Linked DNA regions of Oreochromis niloticus. The protein of the gene in region 1 binds, or shares a complex with, the protein of each later gene. Links are inferred from orthologs where the notes say so. Each region holds a gene or a part of one and is shown on either strand. Other genes may lie near its edges. The genes, in order: ccdc135, drc5, drc3 and fbxl13.

What was found.
Region 2: ccdc135 (region 1) and drc5 share a complex: the UniProt entries of both Homo sapiens proteins name them as parts of the nexin-dynein regulatory complex. The link is inferred for Oreochromis niloticus from reciprocal best matches to the Homo sapiens genes DRC7 and DRC5.
Region 3: ccdc135 (region 1) and drc3 share a complex: the UniProt entries of both Homo sapiens proteins name them as parts of the nexin-dynein regulatory complex. The link is inferred for Oreochromis niloticus from reciprocal best matches to the Homo sapiens genes DRC7 and DRC3.
Region 4: ccdc135 (region 1) and fbxl13 share a complex: the UniProt entries of both Homo sapiens proteins name them as parts of the nexin-dynein regulatory complex. The link is inferred for Oreochromis niloticus from reciprocal best matches to the Homo sapiens genes DRC7 and FBXL13.

Annotation. Positions count from the first base shown.
Region 1 is NC_031984.2:2,435,220-2,442,351, forward strand, and holds the start of ccdc135 (dynein regulatory complex subunit 7), read right to left. Parts: upstream 3,021-7,132; 5' UTR 2,923-3,020; intron 1,857-2,922; 5' UTR 1,833-1,856; coding exon 1,795-1,832; intron 1,243-1,794; coding exon 1,104-1,242; intron 989-1,103; coding exon 863-988; intron 175-862; coding exon 1-174. UniProt on the Homo sapiens protein: Component of the nexin-dynein regulatory complex (N-DRC) a key regulator of ciliary/flagellar motility which maintains the alignment and integrity of the distal axoneme and regulates microtubule sliding in motile axonemes.
Region 2 is NC_031980.2:14,145,454-14,153,146, reverse strand, and holds the start of drc5 (dynein regulatory complex subunit 5), read right to left. Parts: upstream 3,011-7,693; 5' UTR 2,929-3,010; intron 1,498-2,928; 5' UTR 1,464-1,497; coding exon 1,367-1,463; intron 1,278-1,366; coding exon 709-1,277; intron 1-708. Other genes in the region: E3 ubiquitin-protein ligase rnf8, read right to left, coding at 7,664-7,693. UniProt on the Homo sapiens protein: Component of the nexin-dynein regulatory complex (N-DRC) a key regulator of ciliary/flagellar motility which maintains the alignment and integrity of the distal axoneme and regulates microtubule sliding in motile axonemes.
Region 3 is NC_031969.2:18,076,000-18,083,800, reverse strand, and holds the start of drc3 (dynein regulatory complex subunit 3), read right to left. Parts: upstream 3,021-7,801; 5' UTR 3,010-3,020; intron 3,001-3,009; exon of another isoform or gene 2,924-3,000; intron 2,736-2,923; 5' UTR 2,691-2,735; coding exon 2,531-2,690; exon of another isoform or gene 2,511-2,530; intron 2,436-2,510; coding exon 2,319-2,435; intron 2,208-2,318; coding exon 2,041-2,207; intron 1,958-2,040; coding exon 1,811-1,957; intron 1,336-1,810; coding exon 1,016-1,335; intron 911-1,015; coding exon 736-910; intron 640-735; coding exon 508-639; intron 342-507; coding exon 271-341; intron 13-270; coding exon 1-12. Other genes in the region: tom1l2a (TOM1-like protein 2), read left to right, coding at 5,106-5,157. UniProt on the Homo sapiens protein: Component of the nexin-dynein regulatory complex (N-DRC) a key regulator of ciliary/flagellar motility which maintains the alignment and integrity of the distal axoneme and regulates microtubule sliding in motile axonemes.
Region 4 is NC_031972.2:56,431,179-56,438,138, forward strand, and holds the start of fbxl13 (dynein regulatory complex subunit 6), read right to left. Parts: upstream 3,009-6,960; 5' UTR 2,888-3,008; exon of another isoform or gene 2,774-2,887; intron 2,597-2,773; 5' UTR 2,539-2,596; coding exon 2,442-2,538; intron 1,901-2,441; coding exon 1,812-1,900; intron 156-1,811; coding exon 60-155; intron 1-59. Other genes in the region: uncharacterized protein LOC100695371, read left to right, coding at 3,111-3,127, 3,200-3,255, 3,324-5,227. UniProt on the Homo sapiens protein: Substrate-recognition component of the SCF (SKP1-CUL1-F-box protein)-type E3 ubiquitin ligase complex.

The DNA.
Region 1 (7,132 bases):
GGGGCACTCCTGCAGGCTCTGATTGAGCAGACACATCTCTTTGACGGCGTAGCCGCTGACGCAGTAGGCGTCGTAGTCTTCGCCGAGCAGCAGGCTGCACAGCAGAGTGGCATACTCAAAACACGTGGCTTTCTGACTCTGCAGCACCGCGTTGGGAGAGGAAAGGACCTTTGGCTGCAACGGGAGAGACGCACACCGCCACAATCAGACACACCGAGAGAAGGTGCACGCATGTGTGTATTTATTGATGTGAATGTGATTATGTGCTGCAGTCTTGTTTCTTTTCTCATCCACCATCTTGAAAAGCTGAAACATGTTCGGGACAATGACTGTATATATATATATCAGCTTCTCAGAAACACATTTTCACATCATCTCTGAGTGTGACATCATCAGTTAAGATAAGATAAGATAAGATAAGATGGCCTTTATTAGTCCCACAGGTGGGAAATTTGTTTTGTTACAGCAAAAGTGCAAAGTTATGTAGCAGAAATTAGAAAACACTGGAATGCAATAAAATACAATAAAATAAAATAAAATAAAATACTATATACAATAGAATAAAATAGAATAGAATAATATATACAGTTGTTGGTCATGTGAGGTTTGAAAATACTGCATACAGACACGACAGGATGACACGCAGTTAATGTGCAGCTAAACACGAGCATTTCTTATATTAGAATTACATTATATGCAATAATTATCTGAATTATGAAAATTATGGTTTCACAAAACAGAAACAGCAGAATAAAAGAAGTTCTCTCTAACATATGCTTTAACTCTCAACCACTGATTACAAAAAATACTTTGTTTGCTCCTAAGACTCAAATAAACATTTGTCTGCTGTTTCCTTTCTGACCAGCTCCACGGGCGGATCCAGAGGGACCAACGACAGGAAGTCGGCCACAAAAGAGGCACAGCCCTGCCACTCGAACAGTTCACAGTGGATGGTCGACGTTGGACGAAGAGACGTCGACACAAACTTCTGAATATGAGAAGAGACAGACGGCGATGCAGAAAGTATTTAGGGTGTTTGCAGATGTGAAGGTCCAATGGGATCTGTTCTTCAGAGAGAAAAAGGTTGAGTGAGATAAACCTACCTTTACTCCACATTCGTTTACAGGACAGAGCAGCAGCGGTTTGCGGTCAGGACACAAGTGCGAGTACTGACGCTGGAAGTTTTCTGCGATGGCTAACAGTCGAATCTCTTCTGGAGAGTTGCTCCTGTAGGACTCGGGGCTGAAGAAGGAGAACAGGTGAAGACGTGAAGATGACCTCAAAGCCACCAGCTTTACCCTACAATGCTTTTTGAGCTTCTACATCATCAGTGGGACTTTTTCCCTCAGAAAAATCTAAATAAATTGTAGAATAGATTTTAAAGCAATTTTTAAAACAAGGACAGATGTAGAAAATAAAATGCAAATGAAAAATCATACATGGAAATTAAAATTTAATTACTTTTTCAAACAAAAATAAAGCCTCCATTTTAAATAAGATTGATTTTTCTGTCAATTATTTCATGTTACAGGTTTTAAAGGGATAATCAAGAGAAACAGAGAAAACCCAACAATCACATGACTCTCTGTGAGCAAATGCTTTGGTGACAGTGGGAAGGAAAAACTCCCTTTTAACAGGAAGAAACCTCCTGCAGAACCTCTGTGACAGTCTTGTCTGTCTTTAATGTCTTTTAAAGGCGTTTTGTAGAGTTGGTAACAACGAACTTTTTTCTTTTCGTGTATTTTCTTCATCCCTGTGTGTATGTAGTTTGTCTATGAGTGTAAAAAAACTTACAGAAGCTTCTCAGAAGCAGAAACGTCCTCCATCTCCATCAGTGCTGTGCTCCTCTGGCGATCCTACTGGATTAAGGTTAATTGTGTTTATGTGCGCCTGAAGTTTACACATAAACACACACACGGAAAAACATCAGAAAAGCACACACATGTAGACAATTTTACTAAATAAAATAATACAATCAAATTAGATCTTGTTGTCAGTATTTTCTTATTGGTTCAAAAAAATGAGGCTGAAAATTCTTCAGTAAAAACATCTGACTATCTGACACTGTCAACAAACTTAAACACAACTTTTAAATCTCAGATTTCTGCTCTAGAAATAAGTAGTGTGTATTGAGCTGGATAACACCTCATCTACCATTCAAAATGTAAGAAAACTTTGAATACAATACTACGGTGGCCCTGAGAGGCCAAACAGACTGCAACTTAAGAAAACACCAGCAATAAGAAAAACGCTGCAAAAGCACACAAAACGAAACACAAAACGAAAACACAACAGAAATAGGAAAAAACTGATTTCCAAAAGCACAAGGGAAGTGTTTCTGGGGAGACAAGAACCCGACGGACCTGTTGGTTCCTGCAACCATCCACTTTGGTGATTGAGGACCTGTGTAGGACCTGAAACGAGGCTGCCAGCTGATTTTAAAATTCCCAATAAATATAATTAAACTTCTTGTGTGCAAATGTTTTACTGTGCAAATCCATGCTTAAAGTGCGATGCTAAATAAAGTGCTTGATAAGGTGCTTTTAATAAAGTGAAAGGTGTGCTCACAATGCTATACAGATAATATAAATAATCATAGTAAGGGAGTCCTCTTCCTCACAAACCGTTATGCATGTATTCCATTTTTTCTCTTTTTAAAATGTCGTTTAGAGTTTAGTTTATATCAGTTTTAGTACTTTCAGTATTTTATGAGTTTACTTTAAGTTTTTTTTATTCATTTCTTTAAATTTCACATCTACTTCTATTTCAGTTCAGTTTTTGTTCCCTGTAGTAACCACGTCTGCTGTCCCACATACAGACCTGTAACTAACCTCGTTTAAAACGTGCTTTTTAACGTGCTATCAAACTAAAGCGAGCGACACTTAAACAAACTCTTTGAAAACTGGTTAAACTTTTACTCACCCGGGCTCCGTTAACTGTTTTTAGCTGCTTCACATTCGTAAGCGTTGTCGTTGCCTCATGTCCATGGTAACAGCAACACGTCACGACGTGAAGGTATGCTGCATTCACTTACCCTCGGAGTTAATAGGATTCATACAGAACACACTTCAGACGCGCTTTGAAACAGGGATGCCAAATTTATTCTGTTTCCTGGCCCAATTTGATCTGAAGTGAGGCAGACCAGTCAAGGTATCGCATGAAAATACCCCTCCAGAATCCTCCCTTTAATTATATAAAAGTACACTATGAAGATGAACATGTGTGCCCATAGATGGTGTACTAGGCCTGGAGAGTGAAGCTATTGCCCTTTGAACCTGCATACTTTTTGAAAGTGTCAACGAGACTGAGATCCCTCGGCTCAGCTCCAACCAGAGGTGAAGGAAAAGGCCTAAAACCCAGCTTTGGTGGGTGTAATGTAGCAGAGAGTGACAGAGTTTAATCTATGTGCTTTGGATGTTAGATGTTCCTGCTGTAATTGAATTTATCATCAAATCTGAAATCTAATCAAAACTTACAAAGTGCCTGTGAGTGAGGAATGTGGAGCAGACAAAAAGACAGAGAAACAGAAAAGTTTTTGATCTTATTGTGCTGAAAAAAACAGAATAAGTCATTTTTGAGTAACTAACTTTTGAACTGTGATCGATAAATACTAAAGTTCACATACTGAGTTAAAAAGAGACACAAGAAAAAGCAAATTCTTAGAGAAAGTAATCAGAAATGAAAAGTATATGGAATGATCAAGGGAAACTGTGCCGTGGGAGTGTCTGATTGGGTGTGAGACCAGTTCCAGTTGCTCGTCCCCTGAGGTGGCGTTTTGTCAGCACATCACCTTCTCCTAATTTCTGGACCATCATCTGGAGGGTTTTTAAACCACCGCTGCCTGCCACTCTCCACCAGTTCGTCCTGCTACCATTGGTGGTAACTCAGACATCCTTGTGTTCGTGATTCATGCTGTTTTTGGATTAATGTGTTTTCCGTCTCCAGTTCTCTACAGATCCATCTTCTGTCGTGCTTATCAGCACCGCTGGTCCCACTTCCACCCAGTTCTCCAGTCTACCTGCAGACAAACGATTTCACACTCACCTGCTCCTCGGCCTGCCCTCCTGCCCGTCATCTCAATTGTGGATATATCTTTCCTCTAGACCCCTTGGAACTTGGATCCATCTCACCTGCATACTCCGCCATCCCCTGGACACTCTCACAGCTACCCCTCCTATGCCAGCCGGCCTGCATCTACAAGTAAGCACATACCCTCCACAAGTACTACTGAGTTCAACCCGCTCACTCGTTTCCCAGTCCAGTGATACTTCTCTCCTCTGTTGCAGAAGTTCCTGCCCATGCTCTCCTTGTGTTATGAGTGCCAGAACCTTTCTCCATCCCCTGGTTTCCCACGACACCTGTTCATAGTTTCTGTTAATATACGTGCTCTTGTTTAAGTTGATTACTCCTGTAAATAAATCTTGTAAATAGTTTGTGCAATTAAGTCTGCCCTTGGGTCCAAACTTCACTCACCTTTCCAGTTTGTGACAAAAACAATGTGTTTCTAATTGAGATGACAAGAAATGTTGAAATTATGCAAACTGAAGTTAATTATGTTGAATAAATGTGACTACTGTGATAAAGTAACTTTGTCTACAGAGATAAGGTGAGGGGCAAGAGAACAACAAGATATGGCTCGCATCAGGTGATTTCACAGCACAATAGGTGATTGGATGTTAAAATTGGGTAATGGCCATGCCATGAAAGAAACTGGAGAAAAGAAGAGGACTATAAAATTCTTTGCAGATAACGATTAATTGTTATTTACTCGAGGCATTGTCAAAGTGAACAGAAGATTAGAAGAGGATGTAGCATACAGGACTAATAATGAACATGGAACATAGGGGGAGCAGCAGTAGAGTCTGTGAGTGTGTGTGTGTGAGCGCACTTATGTATTCATAAGGTTTGTCCGTGTAATTGTCTAATAGTGTGTGTGGTGGAGAGCCATAGCCCTACCCCCCAGGACATGAAGCAGCCATAAAGGAGATCAGGGCCCCAGACATCCAGAGGCCCCCCAGACCATGAGAGGCCAAGGAGGACCACCAGAAAGGCAATCACGCCACCTGCCTGAAAAAAAAGCTGAGGAGAGCCCCGGACCGGAGTCACCCAGCAGCCACAGGGGGCTGCAGCAACAAGACCGCAGGCCCCACCTGCAGCTAGCTAGGCAGAGCTACGCAGACCGAGCCCTGGGCCCAGAGACCTTAGCACCCTCCAAACCCCGGAAAGGGTCTGACAGAGCCAGGGGGCCAGGCCCACCAAACAGTGAGTCAGTACACATCCGAGACACAGTACCGGACACTGAGAACCAAAAATGCACCGTTGGGTGAAGGCACCAGCCACTGGCAGGGAGTGCGGTCCAGGGAGAGAGGCCCCCACACCTGGGTGGGCCTGAGATGTTCTGAGAGAGGTGGAGTCTAAGACCCGACCTGACACAGACACATAGACAAACAGGAGCACACACAAACATGCATTCCCACCCTCATGCACACATTTACAAATACTCACACATTCGCCCAACATGGAGACACACAGAACTGAACGCAGTACACGCACTCACACTCCCCCATACATACTCTGTATCCCCAGGTCCAGGCACCATCACCGCCAGACTGCTAATCGGCCCCAGACCCAGAAGATGGTTCCCTTTACTCTGCGGTGGAGACAAGCAGACTGCCCCTGGTCCTGCAGCAGCAGGGAAGCCCCCCAGCCCAGACCCCAAACAGACGGCCAGCTCCTCCCAGCCCACTGGCCCAGACGACGTACAGCATATGAGAAGACTTCATACCTCACTCTGCCTGCTCATATGTGGTTTTGATGCGTGCTATTCTAAAGTGTAGTTAAAACATGGGAGGGGCTTGGCGCCAACTACCTTCTGCCAGACAACAGCTGGTGTCAGCAAAGCCCCTCCCGAGAACCCTCAATGTCTACATGTATTTAAAATTGAGAGGTGGGGACTGGCACCAGATGTGAGAGTGTATAAACAGACTGTCTTCTGGACAGTGTGCCCACTCCCAAGGTCTTATATGTATGTGTCATGAGAGTGTAAGTAATGTGAGTGTCTAAGTTGTGGAATAAAATTGAGGCACAGGTGGCCAGGAGGGGTCCTGTATGTGTGGTGGTGTGATGAAGCGGGAGGAGTTGGGATGGAGGTGGGGAGGAAAAGATTGGGGGGGGGGGATTAACATACCTGCAGAGCGGAATCCTCAGGAGCAGAGACCGCCTGCAAAGGATGTTAAAAACCTCCTGCCAGCTAAAGAGGCCCCCAGTTTCACCGATGCACCAGAGGCCCCCAGCACCAGGGCGGGGCCCCTGTGTATGCACCCATCCACAACCTCAGCAACACACCAACCAGGACTCAAACCCAGAGGTGGAACACCCCCAGAACCCAAGTCCCCAAGCCCACCCTAGACCAACCCAGGACCAGCATGGCTACTAGGTCGCTAATCTATGTCCACAGGCACAGAGCCCCCCAGCCTTGCCGCTCACAGTCACCAGAGCCCCATCCAGGTCATGACCACAGCCCCTGGGTCGAGCGGACAAGAAACCCAACCCTCAGGGAACCCCCAAACACCCCAAGTGAGTACCCCGTCCGTACTCCATCACCTACAATGATATATAGGTGGGACAAAACCAGGAGCCCCCAGCCCCACTAGTTGATAGAGCCAATCAAAGCAGGCCAGAAAGATTGGTCTAATGTGGTGGCACAGGCTGTACCAACACTAATATGATCTATCAGACTGTCTCTGTATTGGTTAGAATTAGGATTATTTTTATTTTTCCAGTTCTTGTGGACAGTCTTCTTGGCAATGCATAGGGTGGTGAGAGGAATGTGGACTCTTTAGTGACATCATCTAAGTCGCCCAATATGCAAACTGAAGGGGAGGCTGGAATGTTACATTTCTGTCACTTTGGTAAGTCTTCACATATCCACCTCCAAGACCTATGAACTGGTGGACAGAACTAAAGAGCGTTTTTTCAGAAATCTCTCAGTCAGAACATGCTATATCATGTTTAGTTGGAAGCTAGCGAGCTAACTTCCTGCTAACTTCTAACTCCATTAAATTTAATAAATTCTGTTTTCATGGATGCCTGGATGTTAAACTTTATTGTTACACCTGGTAAAGCAGCAACG
Region 2 (7,693 bases), on another chromosome or scaffold:
ACTTTGAGCATCAGTATTGGAATATGAAATAGATAGAGCTTGGTCATTCAGGAGGGACTCTAAGTTGAGCTGCTACTCTTCCCAGGTCAGGGGCTTCTGTCATCTGATTAGGATACCTAATGGATGCAGGTGAGGGATTTGGGTGTGCACTAGTAGAAGAAGGTGCCAGGGCAGACCCATTACTCACATGGGAGATTACATCTCTTGGCCTGCTTAAGAATGCCTTGGTGTCCGCCCAGATGAGCTCCGGGCGTCTCTGCTAAGACTTCTGCCCCCCCGCAGCCAGAACCGCAGCAAGTATTAAAATATTACAATATTACACAAAATACATTTTTGCAGTTTTTTCTGCAGAACTTTTGACATATTCTTTAATTTTGATGCTCAAAGTTGGTCACAGAAAAACAACTGGATTGAGCAATGAGTAGATTTTGACTCCTGAGTGACCTGGGTTTTAAAACCGATTTTTTTGCTGCAGCTTTTTGAGCTTCTTTGTTCCAAAAATATCCTGCAGCTATCCAGCAGGATCAAAATGCTGGAAAAAAATAAGGTACCAAATTTCAACCCAATCCCACTCCTGTTATTTGAGGGCTTGTGTAAATGGAAAAAACGTACATAGAATGGGGATATATTTCTGCACGAAGTCGGGCGGGAGATTTTTTCAGATAGGATATCTGGAATGAGTACTATGTAATTTAATGCAATACTTACCTTTAATGTCTTACAGGACTTAAGTGCCTTGGCGAGGGACTCACAGTCTCGGTTGGTCATCTCAAACATGCTCCATTCAAAGTTCATACCACATGATTTGACTTTGTACACCAAGTGCAGCTCTTCCAGGTTTGTAAGCTTGTCAAGCAAGATCCTAAAGTCAAAGTGGTCCATACCAGATTTATCATCCTCATTTTCAAGTGTCAGCTCTGTTGCTTGCTCCTCATCCTCCGTCTGCGGCTCCTTGACAGGTGGCAGAAGCTGAGCGATGTTTAGCTTCTTGATGTGGTCTTTACAAAGCGTGACCATGTCTAGAACTGTCTTTGGCTCTGTTATGCCTGGAACAAAAAGTTCAATGATGTTCTCCAGCTGCCTTTCAAAAAACATTCGTTTCCAGCTTTCGCCGTAATTAGAGACATCACAAACTTTCCACTTCTGCTCACAGCGTCGCTTCCAATAAACGCCATCTGGGAAAACATTGGCTGCAAAATGCAGAGGCAGGGAAAGGGACACTCTGTTCTGAATGAAGTCCTTCTCACTGGATGTAAGCTCTTCATATATTGGCTTTTCTGTAACAGGTATACATTTTGCAATTAAGTTCCAGCTTTATTACAAGTGAGATTGTAAACTTTTGGATAATAACAATACTAAAAACCACCTTCAAAGTTGTTCACTATGCACTGGAGACAGAGGTTTGACAAACTAGACACTGTAGCCAGTGACCAGTCTAGATCTTCAGCAATGATCCTCCTCATCTTACTGCAATCTTCACTTTGGTTAAGATTAGCCCTGGAGGATAAAGAGAGGCATTATAATATAGAGTTATGACACTTAAAAAATCCTTAAGTGAAGTGTATGGGGAAAGTACAGTGCTGTATTTGCCCCCTTCCTTATTTCTAACTTTTTTGCATATTTGTCACATTTACATATTTCGGAACGTCAAACTAAGTTTAACATTAGACAAAGATAGCCCGAGTAAATACAAAATGCAGTTTTTAAATGATCATTTCATTTATTATGGGAAAAAGCTATTTAAATCTATCTGGCCCATCACCTTACAAATAGCCTGGCGATGTGAAAAAGTATTTGTCCCTTAAATCTAATACCTGGTTATGCAACCCTTGGAAGCAAGAGCTGTAACAAAGCATTTGCAGTGACTGGCAATGAGTCTTTCACATCAGTGTGGATAAATCTGGGCCAAAATTTTAGATGAATATTTTCCCAAAAGTCTTGGGGATCATCAAGGTATTTTTTGGCAAACGTGAGACGAGCCTTTGTGTCGTTTTTGGTTAGCGGGGGTTTTCTCCTTGGAACTCTCCCATGGGTGCCATTTTGCCCAGAATGAGTCATCACTGTCCTCTTGGAGTAACTTTGCTATGCCGGCAACTCCTGGGAAGGTTCATCGCCATTCCGAGTTTTGTCTATTTGTGGATAATGGCTCTCACCGTGGTTTGTTGGAGTCCCAAAGCCTTAGAAATTGCTTTGTCATTGACTGATAGATCTCAATGACTTGGTTTCTCAACTGCTTTTTTCAATCATGGCATGGTGTGTTACTTTTTGTGGTCTTTTAGTCTACTACACTGATCACTGCAGTGATCAGTCCTGGGTGTGGATAGAAAATTGAACTCAGCTTTCTGAAAATGTGGTTAAAATAATAATTTAACAAACGGGGTGGCAGGCAGGGCAGGTAGGTTCAAATAGCTTTTTCCCCTTAATAAATGAAATAATAATTTATAAACTGCATCAGCTTAGTTTAAATTCAACTAAAAAACAGCGTTTTAGAACCTTACTTTGATTACATTTTGCGATTACGTGCAGTTTTTATTTCCTAACAATGTTCGAATAAAGTTATTACAATAATTTTACAAAATAAGTGCCAGAAGTGGACTAAATAAATAAATAATGAATAATAAAAATGAATAAGTCAATAAATAAATCACACATTTAAAGTTTCCTTCATAGACAGATATTATATTTTCAACTGTGGTTATGTGGTGAGTCTAACTAGCTCAGCTATTGGGCTATTGAGTCGCTTTTGAAGTTGGGCAGAAGTTGCTAGCTTCTGGCCAATAAGGTATCTTACATAGTTAGCTTAAGAGCATGTAGTCCCACCATTGTTATAGCTATCGAATAAAAACTTCTTCAGCTATTTAATATTTATTTTATGTCATTTAGTTAGATATACACAGCCTAATCCTTGTCGTATACATGCTAACATACCTGCAGTACTGGTTTAGGGTTCATCTGTTCCCATGGGAACGGAACGCAGTGAGTTTACTTTAACGTCTCTGGGAAATTTGAGTTTTTACTCTGAATGTTGACCGATACCTCGATGTACGTATAAACATGTTTATACTGTTTACTGCTGTGTTTAGGGGACAAAAAATAAATACAAAATTTAGTAAGACACATGGATGTACACATTTCATTTCACATGGAAATCATTTTCATTTTTGTGAGTCACCAGTGTTCGGGAAAACAAATTTCCGAGCTTCATTGAATGAAACAGTTTTTCTTAAATACACAACACAGAAAATGACAAGCTATAGTATTACTACTACCACTACTACTACTAATATTAATAATAATAACAATGAGCTGTAGAAAGAGAAGAAGAATACAATCATAAGTTGCTTAATTTGGGAATCAAAGCTACCTGGAACAGATCGCATGTTTAAATAACATCCAGTATTTATACAACTACAGCTTTATTTTCACAGAGAAACGAGTGCTTTGTGTTTAGGTTTGCATCTGAGGAAGCAGTGATCATGCTGTGAAACACATTCAGATGCCACCAAACTGCCAGATGGACCTTGGGTCTGGACCATGGGCCTTTTGGAAAAGAGCACACTGGAGTGGATCCATCTGTCTCACAAGCAACACAAAACAGGTGCTCGGCTACTGTGTAGGAGGTGAGAAATCTGTAAATACCACCTTAAGAAACTCATGGTTGTTATTAAGCAAAACATCATTTAAAGCCAAGTTATTTTACATGGATAGAGATGGAGTCAGAAACTTTAGAGTCAGCTGTAGGAGCTAATTGCACTGAGAGAATGAGACGTTTGAACTTGACACCACTGTTATCACATAACCCGCAAATTACACTTAGAGCATTTTTTCATAGTCTGAAAAGCATTGTAGCATTGTAAAGAAGGAACGAGAGTGTGTAGCCTCGCTGCATTGATGCATTGGAAAGATGTAACACTTAATTTCATACATTTGTGTGAATCTTTGCTTTAAAGTGCCCGAATCAAATACCAAGTAGATGCAGGATAAATTTGTTCCTTGAATTAATCAGTTGTGGACTTCATCAGCTTTCATCAGCTGTGTAACATTCAAGCATGGATGAAAGCAGGTACATGATCCTGCAATCCTGACTCTGCTCCCCATATGCTTGGGCAGAGAGAGCGTGACTGAGTAACAGTTAGATAGCTGTTACTGGCATCGTGAGGTTGCTTCCAGTAGTCGGATGGCGGCTCGGATGGAGGAACGAGAGGCTCCAACTGTAGCCCCGAGGCAGTCCATCACTGTCGTCCTCGTGTAACGTGGTCTGACAGACACACGCGTCCCTTGTACTCTGGCTTTAATGGACTGGCATGACATCAGGCATCCACAGCACAGAAGGCAAACTCACTCTGTAGGCTGCTGTCCCAGTCCTCTCTGTGGAGTGAATCACAGTGTTCGAAGGGAGGGGTTGTTACTGCACCACATAAGAGGTGCACATGTTTACTGATCAGAGTGGCATCTCTGATGTTTTGGCATGAAGCAAACAAGAGAAATGAGAAAAACAAAAAACATTTCCAATAATTTATTAAAATCGTGATAAACAAGGACAAAATTAACAGTAAAGAGTGTATGAGCAAGTTAGGCTTTTGTAAGTACGTTTTTTTTATTATTATTTTTAACTCTTAGCTCTGTGATGACAGTGAAGAGTGGCATCCCTAATGTTTATCTTATGGACACAGTTCTGGCTATGAGCACAGAAGCCCCACCCACCAGCTATTCAACCCTACTGTTTGCCAGAGGTATCGAATCAGAAGAAGGAAAAGAAAGAATAACATGCCTGGGTACTTTTAGTTCTACTTTCTGGTAATGCATTGACCATCCAAGCATTGGGCAATGCAAGTATTGTATTTTTAAGATATAATAATAATAATTTAAGAATGTGTGAATATTTACATCGGAATCGGCCTATTCCCCCTAACAAATAGTCCAGCGCGGCAGGATATTTGCTTATACATCTTCCTGAATAATTGCTGTTTCTCAGGGATAATAAGTGATTTAGTTCAGGAGCATTAGATAGATGCAGTGATTATAGTGCAATTAAGACCTCAACCGAAGCCAGGCCATGGAGTTAACACAGGATCAAAGCTGCCTGTCTGCAGTCTGAGGACTGTGTGCATTAGCACCGGAGCAGCCGGTGCCATCTCTCTTTCATTTTCTTTCAGATCCCAAGGAGCTGTTGCATTAGTTGCCAGGCAACAGAGCGTGTGTCTAATTACTAAAAGATAGAAGGATTTACCAAAATGAAGTGCTTCTTTCCAAGATGGAAATCTATTTTTAAATCTGACGCCCACTGCTGGTAGATTTAGAAGTGTAACATTGTGAAGTAACTCATGATCTCATGATCTTTTTCAGATGACAGCTCTAATAGTCAAGGGGCATGATGACAATAGGGCCTTTTTGGAAGTGGTGCCCTTTAAATATCGCCCTGTGCACTTCAACAGCCCAAGTAAACATCCTAATTTTAAAAAAAGAAACATAATCTCAGCAACTATGAATCATGCGAAGCTACTGAAAATTCCCACACTATGTTAAGACTTGAAGTCATTCAGTTGTTTGTTTATATGAGGCTGAAGCAGTGAGAGCTGAGGTAAACTGTGGAATGCTGCCAGGGTTTTCTGCAAGCCTCTCAGCTCCACAGCCTGTCTGCAAGGCAGGGCGACTCCCAGGTGACTCAGGGAATGAATTGAAGGCAGGGAGCCACAGAAAACAAATGACAGTATGTTGTTTTAAAAACATGTTTGCCTTTGTTTTTTCTAACACACCGAGACTTGTTAGTTTTGTTAACTTATTAAATCCAGGAGGATGGTTTCCATCTGAAGAAGAAAAGGCTTAATGGATTTATGCTAGTTAACCAGCATTAATGTGCTTTTACCTCTTTTTCTATTAATGGAAAAACAAACTGAACCAACAAAGCTGACGAAGGAGATCTATGTTTGATCTCAACACTTCTATATAAGATTCAGTTTACTGGGGTTCATCTTCTCCTGGCTTCTAATCCCTGACTCACAGCCAGAAACCATGGCAGTCTATAATAAATGAGAATAGCTCTGGGAAGTGCTACTACTACAGCATTACCACATTATAAACTGTGCTGCAGCCCATCAGCATAGAAATATTTCATCATAGGAGATTTATAGCCATCTGTATATACCCATTCTCTTCCGCTTATCCAATTCAGGGTCACAGGGGGCTGGAGCCTATCCCACTTGAAAGGCAGGGTCCTGATAGGTTGTCAGCCAATCCTAAGGCTAACATAGAGAGACAGACAATCATTCACAGTCAGCCAATTAACATAACATGCATTTCTTTGGACGGGGAGGAAGCAGAAGCCAGGCAGGCACAGGGAGACCATACAAGATGGATTTGGACCCAGGATCTTCTTGCTGTGATGTTGGCCTCCTAATTGCAGATTTTTCTTTTTCTGTTTTTAATAATTGAATTTTTTTTAATAACTTAATAACTCCACAGTATTTTTTTGTCATTATGTTGTGAATAGTTTTTTTTTTAATCTGAATGCTCCATCTGCCTATCACTTTGCTGCTGGGCCACCTGAATTTCCCCAATGAGGGACAATAAAGGATATTTCTATTCTATTCTATTCTATTCTATTCTAATCTAATTAAACATCCCTTTTCCAAAGCATAAAAGAGCCACTAGATCCCCTTTTTCTGCCTGTATCTACCCCCTTATGATAACAAAATAGCTGTTTGGTCTTAAGGGACTGATGTTGCTGTGGTACCAGCTTTAAACATTTGTTGTTTAATCACAGTTTAAACACATTGTTTGAACTGTGAGCCTGTTTGCAAATGTAACTCAACACCAAGGTGTCGACTTTCAAAACACAGCAGAATTTTTAGTTACCTGGGCCAGTGAATGTTAAAGAGGTAAAACATTTATCACTAAACCTGCAGCTGTTGGTTGAGCTCTAAATATGCAAGTGTTTGGTCAATAATGGACAAATCAAAATACTTCAGGAAAAATTAGAGGATTACCCTTAGTGCTGGTGGGACCATATAAAAAGACAAATCACTATAGTTAAAGTATGAAGCATGGCTAGTACTGAATCCCAGAAAACATTCTACAGGGTGGGCCATTTATATGGATACACCGTAATAAAATAGGAATGGTTGGTGATATTAAAGTCCTGTTTGTGGCACATTAGTATATGTGAGGGGGCAAACTCCTCAAGATGGGTGGTGACCTTGGTGGCCATTTAGAAGTCGGCCATCTTGGATACAACTTTTGTTTTTTCAATAGGAAGAGGGCCATGTGACACATCAAACTTATTGGTAATGTCACAGGAAAAACAATGGTGTGCTTGGTTTGGCCCACCACTACAGGGTGGGCCATTTATTTATTTATAAATGGCCCACCCTGTAGTAGGATTTCTGTGGCACTGACAAAAGTTTGAATTCCCAGGTTTGCTTGAAATATAAGGAATCAGAAATTGGACTTGAAATGCATATGAATAAACTTTATTCATTTAGTTGAAAATAAAGACAACACAAATGATTATTTTACAAAAAAACCAAAAACAACTAAACATAAACCTGCCTGGACCAAACTTTGCATCCTCTATCCTAAATGTCCCGGGAACATTCCACGGAAAGGCGAAACTCAACAGCAGAAAAGTCTAATTCCATATTACAGCCCAGAGGAGAAAAAGGGGCTAATCCTCATCTTCATCAGAACTGTCATC
Region 3 (7,801 bases), on another chromosome or scaffold:
CAGTGGGAGAACGTATGGTTTTGTTAAAGAAATCTCTCACACAGGAATACATCTGATTGATTAAAGCCCATCAAATGCTATGACACGCTGGTGAGTTAATCAACCACTTTCTTCTGCTTATCCAATTCAAGGTTGCAGGGTGTGCTGGACAGGTCACCAGTGTGTCGCAGTGCTCATGACTATATAATTATTAGCATACATTAATGAGTGTTTTTAGAATGTTTTTGAAGCAATTCTGTTGCTTTCCTGTAAAAAAAAAAAAAAGGATATATCCCCTGTGCGGTTTCACTGAAGTGTCTAACCATGTCTGAGACGCTGCTGTCAAAAGTTTTGATCTTCTCCTGAAATGACCAAGCAGCATCACTGTGATTAAATGTGAAACACAGACATGGAATCTCATGACATATCAAGTATTTTAACATTATTTATAAAGTAAGAAATTTCATGAGATTTCATTGGGATATTTTACAAATTATACAAGGTGTACAATCTCTAGCATACACTAACCTCCATCTCGCTGACCAGCTGAAACTCCAGTGTCATGAGGTTTTTACAGAGCCGGTTAATTTCATCATTGCAGTGGTCAATCTTCACTTTGCGTACCTCTGGGTCTGATAACTGCTGAAACTCTTCTGTCCTCTTTAAAGGAGAAAACACAAGAGATCATCTCATGCTGAGTCATTGCATTCATGTAAATCACTGTGCACATGGAAAAGGGGATTGCTCCTTGCTTGCCTCTTTGTGTTCATGATTAAACTTTGCTAACATCTGCGATGCCTTCTCCTGGCAGTCTGTCACAGCCTTTTCTTGGCAACTGAAGAAAGACTTCACCTCCGTCTCCCTTCGTTTGTGCTCAGCCAAGCCCATTTCAAATAACTGTGTACACAGCTCCCCCATTTGGTGCTCAAATGTAAGTGCAAGGTCAAGGAACCAAAAGGAATGATTGGTTTGGCCTGTACTATGACAATAATAACAATGCACGCACGGATTAGGAAACCAGGATGATAAAAGATATGTTTGAATCAGAGAATCCACTCCTGGCGCACAGTGCAGTGTTTGTGCTTTTGGATCATCTTTAAACATGTTCTTAAACAGAGAAGAGCCATTAAGGAACTCCACAAAGGCATCCTGCACAAGAAACAACAAAAAAGAAAACATAAGTGTCAGACTGTATGTATACAAATCAACAGATGACTCACAAAAAAAAGATAGTACTCGATGTAATTTTAGCTCAGCTTCGTGTCTTTGTCGAGCCTCATCAGCCTGGTGTAGCTCCAGCTCTTCAAGTCTCATTTTCTCAAGGACATAGTGATATTTGATAGATGCTTCCTTTCTCTGTACATACACAGAAATAAAATGTAGTTACTCTGCATCAACCAGCAATTCATAAATGCACATGAGGATGACTTTCAAACAAGCTTGGGTACAGTCAGCTTTACTGTTACATCTGTCTCCCTCTCATTCACACATATACTCCGTTTTGCTTCTACTGACCTTCCTTCTTCTCTCTAGAGCACACCTCCATTTCTCCAGACTCTCTTTCACCTGTTCCCTACTCTCACTATGGATCACATTTTCATGTGCAAACAGTGTAGTCAACCTGTCCATCACCACTGCAAACAAAAAGGGGCTCAGGTGTAATCCCATCCCCACCTTGAACTCATTTGTCACTCCTTCTACACACCTCACCACTGTCTCACTGTCCTCATACATGTCCTAGGCTTGGGTATACTCATACTCTGTAAATATGTATGTAAATGCTACTTTAAAGGTAAGCGTAGAACAAAACGTAGATTGGGTTTGCACTTACTGTCTTCTGGTCAAGTATTCTGGAGTCTAGGAACATCAACTTTGGAAAGTAGGCAGCGATGAAAAATCTGTAATCACCCTCGTTTAGGAAAGGATTTCCAAACAGGTTGACTGCTGCCAGGTTCTTGAACTTCCTGAGGTAGAGCACCTTTGAAATGCATTAGGTTAATTAAACAGTAACACATGAATGTTTCCTCATACTTTCATTGCAAATGCAGAAAAGTTTCTTACATTATCCAACTGTCCAATTAGGTTGTTTGAAATGAAGAAATGAGTTAGGTTCTCAAGTGTGTCCATATTTTCAATGACAGAGATTTTGTTGTTGGATAGATTCAGCACTTCAAGCTTCTGCACACACTCCAGACCCTCTATTTTCTCAATCTTGTTGAATGACAGATCTGAGGGACACATTCGAAATTACTCTCATCATTACCAGTAGTTTCTGAGCTGATATAAGATGGCAGTGCCTACACATCATTTGGTCAACAAGAACAAACTTTGTATCTTACTAAGCCACGTCAGATTAATCAGATGGTCCAGTCCCTGGATCTTCTCTATAGTGTTGTTATTTAACTCAAGTTTGGACAAAGATGAGAAGTCCCATAAGTGGTCAATCTTCAGGATGTCTGAAAATATATTAAAAAAACATCATCTCACTCAAGCAAAATCAGCATGCTAAACATTGCTACATTCCTCATCACCTTCATGATTTTCCCCTCACTTTTGTACTCCAGACTTAATTTCTGGACTTCATTAAAGTGGATTTGGCTCGCATCTGGAAAACGCAGGACGTGATCTGGATTAAACAGCTCCTGCACAGCATGCTGCAGGATCTCTTTATCCATCGACGTGGGCTCAGAGATAATATATTCCGAGCTCATGCTGCTGTTTAGAGACCGGAGACAGACTTGGCATCACTTTACACTCTGATAAAAAAAAAGAAAAGAAAAATATGTCATTAAAAACAAACAGAACTTAAGAAACCAGGTAGGGGGTAAATGCTTTTCCACATCACTGTATGCATATTTGAGAGTATTGCTTTGAATATACTGCCAAACACCGTCATTGGCTCTCTAAGATATAAATACCTGAATTTAGCCAAAGCCAAACCTACCTACTGCTGTTTTTGTCACCGCAAAATGCTTAAAAATACAGAAAATCAGCTGGTGTTATCGATAAACTCAGTATGCCGCTACTTACCTCTGTTGTTTACGCTCAGTTACATAGCAACAGGTTCATTTTAAGCTGCATTCAAGTACTTGATCCCGTTGAAAAAAGCATCAATCTGAGACAGGACTTTGTAAGAGTTTTGCTTTAACTATAAATCCTGTCTTTTAAGTCTGATGTTATCTTGTGCCCCAGCTTTTTTAAACATGCCATTGTGGAACCAAGGCTCAAAAAACCCAACCTGGACCCAACACTACTTCAAAATTTAAGACCTATCTCCAAACTCCCATTTATGTCAAAACTCCTTGAGAAGGCAGTAGCTGTCCACCTTACGGCATACTTGGAGAAATATAACATCCATGACCGTTGTCAATCTGGGTTCCGTAAATTGCATTCCACTGAGACAGCACTACTGAAAGTTATTAATGATATTATGATGTCAGCAGACTCCGGAGAATACACAGTCCTAGTCTTGTTAGACCTTACCTCAGCCTTTGATACAGTCAACCATACCATCCTGATAAACAGACTGAGAGACCTGGTTGGGATGTCTGGCTCTGTTCTAGACTGGTCTTCATCTTATATATCTGAAAGGAGTTTTAGTGTGTCTGCAAACCAGATCATGTTGGAATCTACAGAGTTGTTGTGTGGAGTTCCTCAGGGCTCTGTGCTGGGACCTATTCTGTTTTTAATATACATTCTTCCTTTAAGTCAGATAATACAGCAGTTTCCTGAAGTATCTTATCATCTTTTTGCTGACGATATTCAGCTATATTATTCTTTTAAGCCTGCTGAAGCTCATAAGCTCTCCAATCTGATTGACTGTTTAACCAACATTAAACAATGGTTGAACAATAATTGCTTACAGTTAAACCCGGCCAAAACAGAAACTGATTATTGCACCAGGCAGTGCAATACCCGATATTAAACGGCGACTGGGTGACCTAGGTTCCTCACAGAAACATAACCTTAGAAACCAGGGTGTTATTTTTGATGAAGCTTTTTCTTTGGAGGGACAGTTAAATCAGATTGTAAGAACCTGCTTTTTTCACTTGAGGAACATTTCTAAACTTAGATCCATCGTGTCAACAAGTGAACTCGAGATGATAATACATGCTTTTATCTCTACAAGACTTGACTACTGTAACAGCCTGTTAACTGGTCTAAACATGAAAGGGCTAGCCCGCCTACAGGTTGTTCAAAACTCTGCAGCGAGGCTACTGACCTGCTCGAACAAGGGTGCTCATATGACCCCTGTTTTAAAGTCGCTGCACTGGCTACCAATCAGATTCAGGTTCCATTTTAAAATTCTAGTTTTAACTTTAAGAGCATTACAGAGAAAGCCCCCCCCACATTGCTGATTTGATTCGTACACATACCTCCACTCGTAACCTGAGGTCATCAAACCAAAACCTTTTAGTGGTCCCCCACACTCGTTTTAAAACCCGAGGGGACCGATCTTTCCAAGCCGTTGCACCCAGACTGTGGAATGCACTTCCCCTATTTCTACGGGGTTTGGACTCAGTGGAGACCTTCAAAAAGCAGCTAAAGGCATTTTTATTTCAAAAAGCTTTTAATTAGACCAGGGTTTTTATGATGTATTTTATGACTGTATTATGTTTTTACCTTGTAAAGCACTTTGTGACATATGTCCGTGAAAGGTGCTATATAAATAAACTTTACTTACTTACTTACTTGTAATGTGCATGTATCTCTTATATTCGTAAAAGCACCACAAGTCGAAATTGTGTTTACTTGGGATCACACATTTTGCGTATTTTTTGGGGGGGTAGGTGGCTTTTTCAAGATATGAGCTATATATAGTCAACAAATATGAACATTCAATTTTTATATTTCAAGGATTTAATCCTTGTCTGCATTGTTTTTTATTAGCTGTTTAGAGTTATTATTCCCCTCTTTAATGAATAAAATACATGCACGTAGAAAAGGTTTGTTGAACATAGCTTCAGTTACTAACTGTGACTGACATCGATTGTAGCCATACGTGTCCAAAGATCTCTGTACGTGTCGAACTTTTTGAACCAATAGAATTCCTTGGTAGGCGGGACTTGATAGTACTGCCTCTGGGCCGAAGCCTGTCATTCCCGGGCGGATCGTTTGTTGTCAAGATGGAGTTCTTACTTGGAAATCCGTACAGTACTCCCGTGGGCCAGTGTATAGGTACGTTAGACCTGAAATTATTTTTTAAAGGCTTGCTGCTTCCTTCACCTCACGTACTTTGAATGTGGGCCATCATATGTTGTTTACTACTGGGCTCAAAGGTGGAAATAGCGAGCTAACGGGTGTCATCGTAGCAAACGTCATCTGCCTGGAATGGGCTCTCAGCTAATGTTAGCCAGCTAACCCATAACTTAGTCCGGTGTAATCACAAGAAATGCATTAAGTTAAATAACCATGCATATGTGTAGGCACTGATTGCAGCTTAAGAAGAACAAATCAGGTTAACTGAAATTGACGCTATTGTATTGACATGACTTAAAGTGTCTTCAAGAGAGACCCAGATAACTTCCATATTTCCTTAGTTTCTGAACAATAGTTGACCAAACTGTGCGGTCAGCCTGGAGGTTTTTCCCCTCCAATCTCGATACTGTGTGGTGCTTTTTCTCCCCAGGGGAGATATATACGTGAGCTGCAGCATCCCTTTGGTGTGGTTGCATCAATATTTGCATTTTCCGATTTGTTTTTCAACACAAGCTGAGATTCATAATAGTTGGTATCAAGGCCTGACCATGTCTTTATAACTGCCAATGAGCCGGCTACTGATAACAGCTGTTTTATGAAGTATAAAGATAAGAATTTATGTTTACTTGAAGAATGTGAAAATAGGAGTGTACTGTAGGTGACGTAGGTACATTGAACTTTACTTTTTTTCGCCGTTTTTGTGAAATAGAGTTAATGCTTTGGCAAACTCCTGCAAAACAGATGTGTGCCAGACTTTTAATTTCTCCCAGTGTTTGTTTGTGCTTGCCTTTGACCAAATGCAACAGTTGCTGTATTTTTGGTTAAGTGTCAGAATTATTCATGTTTTTACTTTCTGCAGAGCCATATAGTGCTTTAATCAAGCTCTCGACTGGGCAGAACCAGATGCATTTTTGTTTTTGCATGCAGCATGTCTTGGACCCCCACCCCCTCTTCCATCACAGAATTGGCCGTGTCTCCTGCCAGATCTCTCCGGTTGAGTTGCTGCATTGTTTGGGGCTTGACACCCAGCTGTCATTTTCAGCGGTAGTGATCTGTACACCTCAGTGGAGGGGCAAAGTATCATCTTACCAGACACAAAGGGAACGTGAGAGTTCAAGCCTGACAGTGGAGATGTGTGGTAAATCTAATTGCTGTAAGAGCCCGATGCATTACCACAATTTGTGTCCATATTTAATAAAGACAACCAACCTTTGGCAGCTGTTACTATGACCGGGGCACGTGTATGAGAGGAAATCAATCAAATAATATCAAGACAAACGCATGGGACAAATAGCAAATATGTGAGAGTGGAGACAACGAAAGGCAGGAATTAAAGAAGAGTCTTAAAAGTTCACATTGTAACCAGAGAAGGACTTTGTGGCTTTGTTGCCAAGTGCATGGCACAGCTTGCCTCTGTTAAAGCCATGTGATCGACTGGCTTCACTTGTGTGGTGTCAGTTCTCAGGGCCGGGGTGGGGGCTTTGACACAACACCGTGAATTAATGCACTTAGCAGGCATTTAACTCCATTAGTAGGCTCATGTTCAGTGTCCTTACAGTGTGTGTCACACGAATAGATCAGAGTTTTAGGGGGGGCATCCCTTCCTTCTATCCTCTGCTGCCCGTGCTTTGCCCTGCCACAACATGACAATCCACTTGAGGAGATTACATGGGTTATCCCAGAGGAAGTAGCTGGTTAAATCTTTCAAACTCATGCTCTGGATGCTGTAGACTCAGAAGGTGGACTCAGAGGTGTTTTAAGTGGTATTCATGTTTGAATTCACTGCATGCCTTTTTATTTTTGTAGAAGGGTTTGTTGAAGCTGCCCAGCCTGTGAAACGTTGATTTGAGAGGGGAGTTAAAGCATGAATAAGTCATGGTTTTGAGGCATGTCCAGTGGTTGCATGGCCCTGTGTTACCCCTGGCTCTGGCATGACATCCTGCTGAGGGCCTCTGAGCTTCCCGCAGAGGAACATCTCCTGTCTACACTCAGGACTCATCTAATGACGATCTATGCAGTCAGAACCTGTATCGTACTTTGCTTCAGTAGAACCTTTTTTCTTTTTTAAAAATTTTGCTCTAAGTCTCTGTGTTTCTATAAAACGGCAGCTTCCACAGACATGATGGATGGATTTGGAAGGCCGCTGAGGAAGAAGGAGATGGAGCGGGGAGCAGTGATGACTGCAGAGCCAGTTCATCTTTGTCAGCTTTCACAGTCTGGCTTCCCTTATTTCCTCCTTGTAGCCAAAATGCTATTAAGTGGAAGGGTGGAGTGTGAAGGCGAGAGCAGGTCATTGGAACTTCTGTTTTTTTGGATGTTGTAATAGTTAAAACTGAGTGCACAGCTGGATCACTCACTGTCAGTCAGTGTGGCTTTCCCTCTGAGATCTCGGCTTTCCACTTCCCAACTGACTTCTTGGCTCTTTTCAGTTAATTTACTAGAGTTGGAGGCTTTGGAGGAGCATGTGTTTGGCAAAATTTTATAGCATGTTTGGGTTTACCGTGACAGCTGGAAACTGCAGCGTTGTGAAAATGAAATAGAATGGTAGTCTCATGATTACGGACCCAAGACTTCATCCAAACCTCTTCTTACAAAGATTACTCTTCCGTTTGGCTATATTTAT
Region 4 (6,960 bases), on another chromosome or scaffold:
GTAAAACCATTTTAACAGCATCATAAATTAATCACAAGAAGTAATCTCTAAATGCAGACCTGACTCCACAACACGCCAGACTGGATGATAGATTTCCATGTGCAGCATACTTCAGCACAGTTTAGCAGTTCTTGTAATTCTAAGTACTGAAAGATCTGAGGATTAAAATCACAAATCATCTTTTTTTTTTTATCACATGGAAAAACAGCAGACAAATGACACTTGACTTTTCTCTGAATACTTAAAGGGAGTTACAGTAAAACTCTGGTTTATCATGTTGTTGCCATGAGGTGATGAAATATTACAGTTAGGTTTCTAAACTTTAACCAAACATTGAAGCATATTTAAAATAAAAACAATATTTTTGATAATACACAAATGTGGACATAGGATTTAGACACCATTTTTTGTATAAATACAACTTCCTCGCTTTTTGTTTGATGTTATTGGCCCTCTGACAGGGTCTGCTGGCACCTCTGCCCATATTTGTGGCTGCAGATGTGAACAAGCACCCAAAGCCAAACATAGTCATGCTGAAACACTGTTCATCGACCGAGGACAGAAGCAAATTCCACACAAACAGATGCTTCAACTGGTGAGTGGAGTCAGTGTTGGCGAGTGGCTATATTATATATATATATGCATACATGGACTCACAGGTCAGTTTATTAGGTACACCTTGCTTATACCCCTTTTTGCCTACAAGATATCCTTAATGGTGGAAATGTCTCATTTCGTTACATCCCAAAAGATGCTGCACAGTGGACTCATCTCAAACTGGTTTCATGAACATGATGATGTGAACTTTGTGTGTTGTCCTATTGGAAGCAGCTATCAAAAGATGGGTACACTGTGGTCATACAGGGACAGTGAGCAACAATACCCAGGTAGGCTGTGGCGTTTAAACTGTGCTGATTTAGTACAGAGAGTGTACCAAGCAGCAGCAGCCCGAGCAGTCAGTGTTGCAGAATAAATTGAGACTCAGAGCAGCCAATGGCTGTGCAAATTGTAGCCTCTGATCCCTATTGCCAGCTTACAGATGTGGCACCTGATCATCTGCTGCAAGGATCCATGTGTTGTGCATTCAGAGATGCTTTTCTGCTTAACTTGGTTTTGATGAGTGGTTGTTTGAGATACTCCTGCCTTCCTATCAGCTCAAAACAGTCTGGCCAGTTTCCTCTGACCTCTGGCATGAACAAAACATTTTCTTTTCCCCCACAGAGAACTGCCACACACTGGATATTTTCTCTTCTTTGGACCTTTTGCTGTAAACCTTAGAGATGATTGCGTGGGAAAATTGCAGTGCATGAGCAGTTCATGAAATGCTCAGACTATCCTGTGTGGCACCATAAACATACCAGTCATTTAAATGGCCTTTCTTCCCCAGTCTGATGCTCGGTTTGAATTTTAGCCCTGACCACGTCTACATGTCTAAATGCACTGAGTTGCTGCCATGCGAGATATTTGCATTAACAGATAGTTGAACATGTGTACCTAATGAAGTGGCCTGTAAGTGTATATACACACGCACACTCTGGTATGTATTTAGATTAAAGGAAAATGATCTGCAAGTGACTTTAACCAAATACCCTCAAAGAGAGTGGACTGTATGTTTACAGTGGAGTCTATTTAAAGAGTTATGTAACTGATATCTGAGCTCATCGCTGACTGCTCAGAGAACAAGGGGCTGTTGCAGCCTAAAAAAACCAAAAAACCAAAAACAGACTAGCCATCATCTTTCTGTGTACAAACTCCAGGCTAAATACAAAGAAAACTGAGACAAGAATGCTGCTCGCTGTAAGAGAATCTACCTTCAGTAAGAGGCTGTTTGGGAGCACAGAGAGTGCATCACATCCTTTTTCACTCTGCTGATGCTTGTTGTCCATTTCAGTAAATCCCACTTGTAACATCAGGGGAAAATTCACACACACACACACACACACACACACACACACACACACACACACACACACAAAAGATAAAAAGTGTTAATTCAGTTTTGAAGTAGTCTCCTGTCCCTTTCAAGTCCTATCTTTACACCATGGAGCAGTGATACACTTAAGGCTGAGGCATCTAGCTTTTAAAGGGGCCTCCAGTTTCTCAGTGAGAGCTGGAGTGTTCATTCATTTTAACTTAGGAAAATATACATTTCTGCACAAAAGTATTGACTCCAACCAACCAATCCAATCAATCATAAATCCAAAGATAATTTTGGTTTATGACAACTGAGTTAAGAATATAAGTAAAAAGGTGCACAGGGACAAAATGAGTCATGGCAGTGGGAGGATACAACGTGGGAGCATGACTTTTAGTCTGGCAAATTTCTTAACCTCAGTGAGTGTTTTCTCTGGCTTTGTACAGGAGGGAGCGAGAAAAAAAAACAGCCAACAGACCTCAGTATAAATTCTTCAGGAAAAAAAAACCCTAAAATGTTGACCTACCAGCTTTCATCCTCTTGTGTAATTTGACCCAGCTCAGCAGTTTGGTAAGTGCAACCTGCCAGCATTTCCTCTCAAAATGCTTTTTTGTCAAGTCCATCTGCAGAGTCAACTCCAGGGTATCTCTCTTGCTCTGTGCAATGAACCTCTTCCACTTCCTGTCACCCAACAAGAAACAGCTCATCATTAATTCAGCAAACAGGGAGGCAGGCTGTCAGGAGCCAGGCTTAACTAACAAAGGATGGGAATCAAGTAACAAAAAAATAATAATTTATCTAATTTATAAAACAGTTTATTATGATTATAAAGCTAAAGCTGGACTGACAAAGACTGACCGAGTGAAACAGAACACCCTGATAACATTACTTATTAACAGTAAGAGAAAGTCTTTAGGTTCTCTGAAGCTGAGTTACTGTTTCGCAGTAAAAATACAACCAGATCAAATTCACCGTGCACCACCAGTTTGAGGACCTACAAGAACTAACTCAGCAGCAGCTGCTTTCAATAACTTCGATTGCAATCAGTGGAAGCAGAATGTGAGAAAGTTTTGTGTCCCCTCTGACATCTTTCCTGCCACTGTGGCTTCACTCAGAGCATGAGTGATTATTTTGCTGGTTTGTAGCTTTAATCATTATTCTGCTGCAGGTAGAGTCTGTGGTTGAGCTCAACCTCATGGCTCGTTCATTCAGGTAAATAAAAATGTCATTTTATTCTCAGTTCTTTTATATTTTTAGTATTTTAGTCTCTTTTTTTCTTTTCAGGCTCTCCTGGCTTTGCACTCTGTTGTGGAGCTGCTTGTGCTTTCCTCCTGAAGAAGGTAAGAATTTCAGTACTTTTATTTGCATAACCGACCACAAGTTTAATGTGATGTTTCTTTCCTGATAGGTTACAGTAGTGCACATGGCTACTATCTCTATGAGAGCCCGCAAACCTCTAGCAGATTTCATTCTGGACAGTCTTTGAATACAAACAATGAGAATGTTGGACGGCAAAGCTTTGTTTCCCGTCAGCCAGAAGCATTTACTTATGATAAAGGACAGGATGCTACCGCTGAGATGAAGCAAAGCCAGCCTGATAAGTTTCACGGGGCCTCTTCTGCTCCTCTTATAGAGCAAAATGAGCAGTCTGGTTATCACCATCCCTTTGACCTTTTAGTGAGGGGAAACATGCAGGAGCCTGTGAAGGGTGTCGCTTTCCCCACAATGAGTCATTTAAAGGAGTTTATAGAAAACATGAAGCATTCCTTCTTAGTACCAGGAAGTGACTTGAGTAGACATTTTGAAACTGCACGGGAAAAAATGAAAACTCTCGGAACATCCATGGACTATAGACCAACTCCTGAAAAAGGAGGCACTGCCTCTGGTGACAGCAAGAAAAATAATGATCGGATTGAAGAAGATGCCAACTACCAAACGCCAAATAAACTCCTCTCTTTCCCTGATCCTGTCGACTCCTCTGCAAGTCTCATTTCTTCCAGTGTTTATGACAACCAAAAATTTAGGCCGGGCACCACTTTCTACCCACACGATCATTTAGCAGCCACAGGTCTTGCTTCAAGAAATTTGGCACACGGTTTTCCCTGGGGAAACAATGACTTATCTGTGAGTGTGGATTCAGAACAATACAAACCACCAAAAAAAACACAATTTCCCTCCAGCTCCTTTCACAGGCAGGGTTCTTCCTATAGTAAACATGTGACTGCACCCCCTGTGAACCCTGCAAACAGCCCATCTCAAGATTTCAGCCAGTATTCAAGTGAGACCTCAAATTTAACACCTTATTGGAAGGATATGCTAAATCCAGTACATGTCTCTCAAAGTAGAGATCCTTTAATGAGGTACTGGAGACCACCCAGTGGCTTTGAACTCACTAAAGACTTCCACAGAGCAAGTCAAACTAATGTCCCATCTGCAAAAATCCTACCATCTGTATATTCCTATGGTAAAAAGCATCACCCCTCCATGCAGCATTATTGGCCCAAATACAAGACAAGAATAGGTGCTTCAGTCCAGGCACGTCAACCTACTGAGAGCAAAGAGTTGAGGACTGTAAAATATGCTCCCAACGTCCACTGGCCTCCATCAAGTGGTTCTGTCTCTTTAAGCTTTAATGACCCCTTACCCCAGTGGAGAAGAGGTCACATGGGTTATCAAAGCAGCCCACAATACCCGCAAATTCCTCATTATAAGCAAAAACAGATGGACAGAGCTCACTGGATGTTTACCGCCAAACCCTTGAGTTTTGTTCCCGGATACCACAAAGTCAGTGCTGTTCCCTTCGTCCTAAATGCCCATGCAAAACATGAGAATTCAAACCTCTACAATCAAAAACTCCTATCTACCTTTCAGAAACCGCATTACAATAGATTGAGAAATCCACCCCAGAGTGGGCTCGCATCTTATGGAGTAAGAAACCCACTGGGCTCATTTTCTAAACCACAGAGGCAAACTGTGAGGTCTGAACGTTTACAGCCTTTCATGCAACCAAACAGGCACATGCCTCGAGCCAGTGTGAGTAGACGGCCCAGACACTTGGCCAACTGGCGTTCTGAACAGCAGCCTAAACCTACAGGTTTGATGCCTAAGTGTGTTATTAAGAGGAACACAAAAAGCCTTCCTCCTCAAGAGTCCCGTAATACATCTCCATCATCTCTAAATCCATACGTTAAATCTAAAAACCGCTTCACACGGGCCGTAGCATATCTGTCAAAGGTCTGTTTCACACCCCGTATGGTGCAAGGGAAGAATAATAACAATCAGTGGAGACTGGTAAGAAGATGGCGTGAATGAAAGGACATGACAACTCAGTGTGCAGGACCGGGAAGAATGATGAACATGTTTTTGAAGGTATGAAAACCAAAATGTTGTAGTATTTTTGTCTGTGAACACATCTTCTGTCCTGGAAATCTGTCCTTTAAATAGACAACAGAGCATCGCACTACTGAGTAAATACTAAAACTGAGCACTGAAACTGGACCAACCTTATTCAACTTACTAATGATTTAAAAAAAATTCAATTTAATTTTATTTAGATGGCCACACAACAACATCTGCCTTGAGGTGCTTTACACTGTAACATTAAGACCCTGCAATAATACAGAGAAAACCCCAACAATCAGACGACCACATTTTGAGCGAGCATTTGGAGACAGTGGAAAGGGAAAAACTCCCTTTAAACAGGAAGAAAGCTCCAGCAGAACCGGTCTCAGGGAGGGGTGGCCATCTGCTCCAACTGCGGGTGAGAGAGGGAAGACGGGACAAAAGACACGCTGTGGGAGACAGCCAGAGATAGATAAATAATAATTAAATGCAAAATGGTGTATAAACACAGTGAATGAAGAAGTGCAGCCTAGGCCTGTTGCAGTGCAACTAAGGGAGGATTCAGAGTCACCTGATCAGGCCCTAACTATATGCTTTATCAAAAAAGAAAGTTTTAATCCTAATCTTAACAGTAGTCGGTGTGTCTGTCTCTTGAATATAAACTCAGAGCTGGCTCCACAGATGAGGGAGCTTTTTATTTACCTGAAGGCTTGATTTCATAAGCATATTGACCACTAATACTAAAACTACTGTTGCAGACTTTCTCTTAGATATTGCAAAGTTTCTCCAGGATCACGTGAGCCGGTACAGCTTCAGAATATAAGACATTGGATGTAAAATGCATTAAAGTAGTGCAGGTGACTCTGATCGTGAAATCGAGCTTTTAGGTCCACTGAATCCAATTCGTCCAATGAATGCTTTACTTTTCCAATGTCTGGATTTTATTTGCAGGTAACATTACTGACAAGTGGTCTATGTACATAGAAGTATTCGTAATCTTAATGGCCATTCTCTAAAACCTAAAAACTGAAAAACTTAGATTTAATTTAATAGGATTGGTCTTCAGCAGCAAATCCATTTCCTGTTCTTCTACCTACATCGACTATTTCAGTAAGAACCTGAAAGTGTTACAATTTTGACTTGTCTTGATTGCCACATTTGATGGTAGTCCTCATTTTAAATCATCATTGTAAGGATAAAAACAGTTTGCTGGATATATTAGCAGTCCAGAATAAATTCTACAGTCTATATCCATCTAACTTTGTGGACAGAAAAGCAGCTGTAACTGTCTTATAGGTTGCATTTATTTTACAGTTGGCTTCATGTTGGAGATGATGTAAATACTGGTGTGAAGATCAGTCTGAACTGACTTTATGGTTCTAAAACAGGATTAAATATTTAAAATGAGTTTTTAAATCCAGGCTGTAGATGGTCTGATTATATTCTGTTTGTAATTTATACTGCAATATGTTCACAGTCAGACATCATTTTTAAACGAAAAATTGATTTCTGAAATGTGTAAATTGATATTGTTTTCCAAAAGCAATCAAGGTAATCTGATTTACAGGAGAACTACAGGTTTTTTGTTTTTGGTTTTTTTAATCCAGATTTGTTCATTTGCTTGCATCTGTATTTGGTTCACATCAGGCTGCAAGTAAATAACAAAACTTAAATGTGGTAAGATTCCTGCTTTATGAGTGGAT